Macaca mulatta: one gene and its partner. The protein of the gene in region 2 purifies or fractionates together with the protein of the main gene of each other region. This does not show direct contact. Links are inferred from orthologs where the notes say so. Each region holds a gene or a part of one and is shown on either strand. Other genes may lie near its edges. The genes, in order: FTL and NCOA4.

What was found.
Region 1: the proteins of NCOA4 (region 2) and FTL purify together in Homo sapiens (co-immunoprecipitation; 3 studies listed by BioGRID and IntAct, counting the BioPlex papers as one, with this or other methods). This does not show direct contact. The link is inferred for Macaca mulatta from reciprocal best matches to the Homo sapiens genes NCOA4 and FTL.

What each region holds. Positions count from the first base shown.
Region 1 is NC_133424.1:61,421,500-61,425,317, forward strand, and holds FTL (ferritin light chain), read left to right. Parts: upstream 1-1,293; 5' UTR 1,294-1,494; coding exon 1,495-1,596; intron 1,597-1,757; coding exon 1,758-1,904; intron 1,905-2,273; coding exon 2,274-2,399; intron 2,400-2,891; coding exon 2,892-3,044; 3' UTR 3,045-3,070; downstream 3,071-3,818.
Region 2 is NC_133414.1:59,166,410-59,170,809, forward strand, and holds the start of NCOA4 (nuclear receptor coactivator 4), read left to right. Parts: upstream 1-1,394; 5' UTR 1,395-1,530; intron 1,531-2,893; exon of another isoform or gene 2,894-2,965; intron 2,966-4,400. UniProt on the Homo sapiens protein: Cargo receptor for the autophagic turnover of the iron-binding ferritin complex, playing a central role in iron homeostasis. Acts as an adapter for delivery of ferritin to lysosomes and autophagic degradation of ferritin, a process named ferritinophagy.

The DNA of each region.
Region 1 (3,818 bases), on a different chromosome or scaffold from region 2:
ACTAAAATACAAAAAAAAATTAGCCGGGCGAGGTGGCGGGCGCCTGTAGTCCCAGCTACTCGGGAGGCTGAGACAGGAGAATGGCGTGAACCTGGAAGGCGGGGCTTGCAGTGAGCTGAGATCCGGCCACTGCACTCCAGCCTGGGCAACAGAGCCAGACTCTGTCTCAAAAAAAAAAAAAAAAAAAATACGCATTAGTTGTAGACAGACGTCTCGTCCATAGGTCCCCAGACTGTGTGTCCACAACGCAGGGCTTCTCTTTGTGGGCCTGAAAGAGCACACGTCAGGCAAGACACGACGGCAACTGCGGAGACACTGTTTTCAGGGCCAAGGAGAATTCTCGGAGTCTGTGAGTTGCCTCCAAAACAGCCCCCAGGACACGCAGTCCCAGAGACACCGCAAAGCTCGAAACAGACATTTCATTCCTCCCCATTTCCACTCCCAGAAAACGACTGGGCCCTTAAAAGAGCTCCAAGGTATCCCCAAAGTCCCAGCCAGTCTTTGGAGGGTTTCCGAGGGCTGTCCAGGGTTCCAGAAGTCACCCTACCTCATACAATGCTCCTCCTGGGCTTCCCGCACTGGGGAACCCCACGGCTCCAGAACAACTGCCCTTTCCAACTTGCAGAGCACCTCAAGGACCTAAAGATCTCCCCGGGGAGGGCTCCAAAATATAGAGTTTGCATCGTGAACTCCCACCTCTGTAAAGCCCAGGACTCCAGTCCTCGCACCCCTCTGTCTCCCAGAGATCCCCAGGGGTCCAGAAATACCACCTCACTGCCTTCCAAGCTTCCCAAGGATCCGGAGACTCCTTATCTCGCAGCACAAACCTCAGGCAACTACAGGTCCTCCCCGCACCTCTGAGTTGCCCCTCCCCCACTCAAGGTTCCAGAAAAATCCATGCCCTCCGAAACCCCACAATCTGACTTACTTTCCCGAGGCACCCCCAGGACCCCAGGGTCATCAGTTCACAGGACTCTCAATGCTCCCATAAAACTATAGCCTCCCAGAGGAACCCCAGCCCCCACCCCCCCGCCCACGAAACCCTCCATTCCTCGAATCGGCCCCAGGGCCCCAACCCCCGCAAGCCCCCATTTCACAACACACTCGCGCTGCAGGCGCGTGACTTCCCCCTGCTTTGGGGCGGGGGCTGAGACTCCTGTGTGCTCCGGATTGGTCAGGCACGGCCTTCGGCCCCGCCTCCTGCCACCGCAGATTGGCCGATAGCCCGCTCCGAGCGCCCCGCCTCCGAGGGCCAGCGCACTATAAAAGAAGCCGCCCTAGCCACGTCCCCTCGCAGTTCGGCGGTCCCGCGGGTCTGTCTCTTGCTTCAACAGTGTTTGGACGGAACAGATCCGGGGACTCTTTCTTCCAGCCTCCGAGCGCCCTCCGATTTCCTCTCCACTTGCAACCTCCGGGACCATCTTCTCGGCCATCTCCTGCTTCTGGGACCTGCCAGCACCGTTTTTGTGGTTAGCTCCGTCTTGCCGACCAACCATGAGCTCCCAGATTCGTCAGAATTATTCCACCGACGTGGAGGCAGCCGTCAACAGCCTGGTCAATATGTACCTGCAGGCCTCCTACACCTACCTCTCTCTGGTGAGTCCCCAGGACGCCCCTGGCCCTAATTTCCCCCAGCTGCGCACGTTCGGCCCTCAGCGCAGGCGCCGGCCTTCTTTGTCCGGTCGAGTAAACAGAGGGCGGAGTCCCCCTTGGCCTCGCCTCCCGCTAAGCGTTGTTCCCTCCATCTCTTTCCTTAGGGCTTCTATTTCGACCGCGATGATGTGGCTCTGGAAGGCGTGAGCCACTTCTTCCGCGAATTGGCCGAGGAGAAGCGCGAGGGCTACGAGCGTCTCCTGAAGATGCAAAACCAGCGTGGCGGCCGCGCTCTTTTTCAGGACGTCAAGGTAACTAGTGTGTGGGTAGGGTAACGGACTACATCTCCCAGCAGGCCGTGCGCGCGAGGAGCCTTGATTTGAGGGCTTAGATGTCGCGTGGGCTTCGGGGAGATTGAGTTCGGTCTTGTGAGCCCTTTTACGGCTGGAAATAGAGGCGCACGTCGTGCAGTGCCCCCAGGACGCGGCAGTCCACACTGCTGCGTAGACTTAAGGACGTGTAGCTGTAAGAGCTAGGACGGGGTGCGGAGAGTGATAAATACAAGCTGTCACATGTCTTTGTGGCCTGGGCCTCTGACCCCCACCAATTCTTGGGAAATGTAGGTTTAGTTCCATGTGCCGAGTGTGTGTATTCTGAAGCCGTTTCTCCCTTCTGTATAGAAGCCAGCTGAAGATGAGTGGGGTAAAACCCCGGATGCCATGAAAGCCGCCATGGCCCTGGAGAAAAAACTGAATCAGGCCCTTTTGGATCTTCATGCCCTGGGTTCTGCCCACACGGATCCCCATGTACGTACCCCCTGCATCCATGGCTACCCAACCATACCCCTCAAGCCTTTGCTCTCTTTGGGCAAATTCCCTTCAGAGCCTCATTTAACACCTGTCATATTTTAATCTGCAACTGGCAGCTCTTTCTCCCTCTTTTCCAGGGATCGGGTTTCCTTTTTTTTTTTTTGAGACGGAGTCTCACTCTGTCGCCCAGGCTGGAGTGCAGTGGCCGGATCTCGACTCACTGCAAGCTCCGCCTCCCAGGTTCACGCCATTCTCCTGCCTCAGCCTCCCAAGTAGCTGGGACTACAGGCACCCGCCACCTCGCCCAGCTAGTTTTTTGTATTTTTTTTTTTTAAGTAGAGACGGGGTTTCACCATGTTAGCCAGGATGGTCTCGATCTCCTGACCTCGTGATCCGCCCGTCTCGGCCTCCCAAAGTGCTGGGATTACAGGCTTGAGCCACCGCGCCCGGCAGGGATCGGGTTTCTAATTTCTCCCTCTTCTCTCTCAGCTCTGTGACTTCCTGGAGACTCACTTCCTAGATGAGGAAGTGAAGCTCATCAAAAAGATGGGTGACCACCTGACCAACCTCAACAGGCTGGCCGGCCCGGAGGCTGGGCTGGGCGAGTATCTCTTCGAAAGGCTCACTCTCAAGCACGACTAAGAGCTTTCTGAGCCCAGCGACTTCTGAAGGGCCCCTTGCAAAATAATAGGGCTTCTGCCTAAGCCTCTCCCTCCAGCCACTAGGCAGCTTTCTTAACGACCCTAACAAGCCTTGGACCAAATGGAAATAAAGCTTTTTGATGCAGTTGGTGGTTTTGTGTGTGGTATGGAAGATGAGGTGGGATCTGTTCTCATAAAGCTTCTGGCTGGGTTGGGGATGCCAGTGAAAGAGGAGTTGGCCCCATCTCCCATTTTCTTATCTCTTCTAAGACAAGAAGCTATCTGGGTAGTGTTGAACTTGAGGGTTCTCTGCTTGCCTGGCTGTTAACTGTCCCTCCCAGATGGTAGAGATAGCCTCCAGGGAGTTGAATTAAGACCTAGGTTGGTACCTGGACACAGATCTGTTCGGTTTCAGCCAGAAACAGCACTATTTAATGAGTGATTATGAGGCCAGGTGGGCCGATCAGCTGATGTCAGGAGTTCGAGACCAGCCTGACCAACATGGAGAAACCCCGCCTCTACTAAAAATACAAAATTAGCTGGGTGTGGTGGTGCATGCCTGTAATCCCAGCTAGTCAGGAGGTTGAGGCAGGATAATCGCTGGAACCTGGGAGGCGGAGGTTGCGGTGAGCTGAGATCAACGTCATTGCGCTCCAGCCTGGGCAACAAGAGCGAAACTCTGGTCTCAAAAAAAACCCAAAAACCATATCTGCCTCACGGAGGTTGCAGTGAGCTGATATCGCGCCAATGTGCTCCAGACAGGGCAATGGAGTGA
Region 2 (4,400 bases):
CTTGTAGGAGTCACTCTTGGGTGAGATCCATAAAACCCTGCTATGAACATCTCCTTTGCTGAGGAATGTGGGGAAGCAGTTGGCAACTGAGTATGGAGGACCTCTGTCAAAACTGAGGCAGAAAGAAGTGCTATTTTAACATCTGGTCACAAGTAAATAATGTGGGTTATTATCCGGGCTGTAAACTGGACGTGGTGGCTTATGCTTGTAATCCCAGGTGACGTGGGAGGATCGCTTGTGCCTAGGAGTTCGAGTAACTCAGTCTGGTAACACAGTCTGGTAACACAGCAATACCCTGTCTCTACAAAAAAAAAAATTTTAAACCAGGCATCATGGTGCACGTTGGTAATCCCAGCTACTCAGCAAGTTGAGGCAGGAGAATCGCTTGAACCCAGGAGGCAGAAGCTGCAGCGAGCCGAGATTGCACCACTGCACTCCAGCCTGGGCGACAGCGTCAGACCCTGTCTCAAAGAAAAAAGAAAAGAAATAAAGAATCTGGGTTCTGACATTTATTTATTTACTCAATGTATTTTTTTTTTTTTTTTTTTTTTTTTTTTTTGTCGCCCGGGCTGGTTTTTTGTATTTTTTAGTGGAGATGGGGTTTCACCATGTTAGCCAGGATGGTCTCGATCTCCTGACTTCGTGATCCGACCGTCTCGGCCTCCCAAAGTGCTGGGATTACAGGCTTGAGCCACCGCGCCCGGCCCATTTTTTTCTTTTCTTTTCTTTTTTTTTTTTTTTTTTGAGACCCAGCGTTGCTCTGTCGCCCAGGCAGTGTAGTGGCGCGATCTCGGCTCACTGCAATCTCCCCCTTCCGAGTTCAAGCAATTCCGCCTCAGCCTCCCGAGCAGCAGGGACTACACGCGCGCGCCACCACGCCCGGCTAATTTTTTTGTATTTTTAGTAGAGAAGGAGTTTCGCCGTGTGAGTCAGGATGGTCTCTATCTTCCGACCTCGTGATTCGCCCGCCTCGGGTTCCCAACGTGCTGGGATTATAGGCATGAGCCACCGCGCCCGGCCTATTTACTTTAGAAAAACAAATGTTGCAAAGGTGGAATCATACAACATATGGCCTTTTGTGTCTTATGATATTCATTTTTGCATCTGAACGTTCAAGTTAAATAATATCTACCTTGTGAGGGCATTTGAATCACTTAGAATGGTCCTCGGCACAAAACTTGCCTTCAAAAAATATTTGCTTCATTTAATTTCGATTTATTCACGAAGGGCTAAAGGACGTTGTGCAAGGGCTGGGAGAAAGTGTGCGCCTGCGCTCTGCGCCTTCTAGAGGGCAGTCAAGGGGGCTGGGAGAAAGTGTGCGCCTGCGCTTTGCGCCTTCTAGAGGGCAGTCAAGGGCTTCTGCCTGACCCAAGGGGAGATCTCGCGAGACTTTCAGACCTCTGGCAAGAGGCGTGAGAGGAAGATTGCGTTGTCGCGAGAACTCTGCCTTTTGGGACCTAGGTTAGTGTGGGGCCGTGTCTCAGTCCACCCAAGGTCTCCTCGGATCGCGCGGAGAGGCACTCGGACCTGGTAAGAACGCCGTGGGCCGGGTGGAGGCTGGATGATCGCTGGCCCCGGGCTTGTCCGTCCCCTTCCCGACCTGACCGACACCGGGCCCGGCCTGCCTTCTCCTCCCCTTCCCTCCACACGCCAGGCCCAGGCACCTCTTCCTGCCTGCCCGCCGGTCCCGGCCTGCCTTCTCCCCTTCCCTCCACACGCCGGGCCCGGGCCTGCCTTCTCCCCTTCCCGCTACACGCCGGGCTCCGGGCCTGCCTTTTCCTCCCCGACCCTCCTCATTCCCGGCCCAGAAACCTCCTGCTCCCCGCCGGCCTTCCCCTGGCTTTAGGTGTGACAGCTCCAAGTTTCCTATTTCTCTCGCCTCTTGCCTGGATCTGGGGCGTGGCAAGGTCTGTTTTGCCGAACCAGCCCAGAACACAATCCATTTCTAGCTTGTCAGGTGGAAATACAAATAAGATATTGGGGTTTTTTTTTGTTTTTGTTTTTTTTTTTTTGGCCCTCTGTGTGCTAAACACATACCGTCACATTTAGTTCTCCCAATAATCCCGAAAAGTAGCTTGATTATCTCTGTTTTACAGATGAGAAGAGTGAGGCTTGCTCATTCATTGGTTCATCCACCAACAATCATTTATTTGGTGCCTGTATGTTCAGGATGTTGAGGATAGCAATGAAGAAAATGGACACACTCCTAATTCTCATGGAACTAAATTCTCGTGTTGGGAACAACAATAATCATAAGCTTACGTGGCACGGGATTTAATGTGGAATGATGCCATCAAGAATGGCAGAAGTAGAATGACAGAAGTCAGAGTGCTAGAATTTATCTGAACCCACAGGCAGAGCTTTTTTCCTTTTAACTGTGCCTTTTTGTGTCTATCTAATCAGGGTCGGGTTCACCATAGTAACTGCCTTTTGGATGGACTTAGCTTTCCACCACGCACTTGGTAATTTGGAACTAAGTTTACAGAGACTCTTGAGTTACTTATTGGAATGAGGATGGCACAGGAAGTCATAGTTGGCCCATTTCTGTACTGAGATCCTACTGTGACATTTCCAGACTTTAAAGTACATGAGACCGTTTGAGAAAGGCTTACCCTAATGATGCAATGGAGGGAGATTCATTTGCTGCCTTGTGGCTTAGGCAATTTACTTGGTTTTCTCATTTGAAGATTTGCTAGCTTGCAGATTTGTTCAGATAAGTAAATGAGATAATGGGGGGTCCAGCACAATAACATTCCTTTCACTTTCTCCTTCCCTCCCTTCCAGGGAGCCTTTGTCCTTGGGTCTCTGAGGAAAATCCTACTCTTGGAAAGTTTTGTGATACTTTTTATCTAAATAAATCTCTACAATCACATTATTACCTTTGTGCAAACAGGCATTTCGGAAATAGAAAAAACACGTTGAGCTATTGAAGGAAAGGAAGATGTCCTTCTCAAAGGCGGAGAAGGTATTTTAGAACTACATGATACCCCTGACCCCTGTTTTTATTAAATCAGCATAGCTGTGCCAGAATCTCAGGAGCCCGTGTAGGGGTTTCATAAAACTCCATAGTATATCCTGACACATATCCCTCCCCCGGTTTGAGAGTCCCTAAGTTAGTGTTTTATAATACTTTCCCTCACATAGTGTTAGCATTCAGTGCCAGTCATTGCTGCTGCTGATGGACTTTGAACTCTGTCTCTTATTTCAAAGAATTAGTATTTTCTGCTTTGTTGGCAAATCGGTGACACGAGTTCTCCTCTAGGTGGCAAGTTCACCATTGTGTTCTCAGGGACTATCACAGTAGTGGCAGTTGAGGTACTCCATAAATAGTTGTTGGATGAATACATAATACCTTAATACTTAATGATTCCTTCAACATACTCGGTATGGTTAGGGACTTTGGACTCAGATCTGGGATTAAATCTTGGCTCTTCTACTTGGAAGTTTGTGACTGTAGGTAATATATTTAACCTTGTCAAGTCTGCTTTTTTTTTTTTTTTAATTGTGATGATAATAGCCCCTTTAATGGTTTGTGAGTGCTAATTGAGATAATGAGTTTTTAAAAAAAGGCTTGGCACATAGTAGACTAGATGTAAATACTTACTGAATTTATTTACTCAGTAATTAATTATTGAATACCTACTATACAACAGTGAACAAAAAGACAAGTCCCCGCCATGTGGAACTTACCTTATAGTACGTTTTCTGAAGGGAGATCAGAAAATAAATGGTTGCTACGTGCCAGATTGTGGTTAGTACTATGGACAGTGATAAAGCATATTGAGGGGGAGTGGAGGCAAGACTTTTAAAAATAAAAGATGGTGAGGAATGGCCTCACTGAGAAGATGACCTCTGAGCAGACACCTGGAGGAAGTTAAGGCCTGGGCTTGATACCTGGAGGAAAGTGCAAGGGCTCTGAGGAAGAAGCATCCTTGTTATGCTAAAGGAGCAGCAGGAGGAGAAGAGTAGGGGTAGAGGGGAAGAGTAGGTAGCAGTCATGAGGTTTCTGCAGGAGTCCTAGAGAGAGATGATGGTAATGAAATTGATGAACTTTATGTCTGTCTTTGTTATATCCTGTTCTTTGACAAAAAGTAATAAAAATAGCTAATACTTATATAGCTCTTACGTGCATCAGGCACTATTTTAAGTGCTTTACATATACTAGTCATCAGATCTTTCCAACAAAGTATACCTAGCCTCAGAAAATGAAGATTTGTCACTCTTGAGGATATACAGTGGAATGTGCTGCTGGTTCAGAGAGCACTTTCTCAAGCATTACTGAAATCAGCAGTGAATTCACTGCCTCTGTTCACATACTGGTTAGGTTGCAAAGGAAAGCCTAAAATGTCTGTAACAGACCACCCAACCAATATGTATGCATTGGGTTAAGTTCAGTTTCA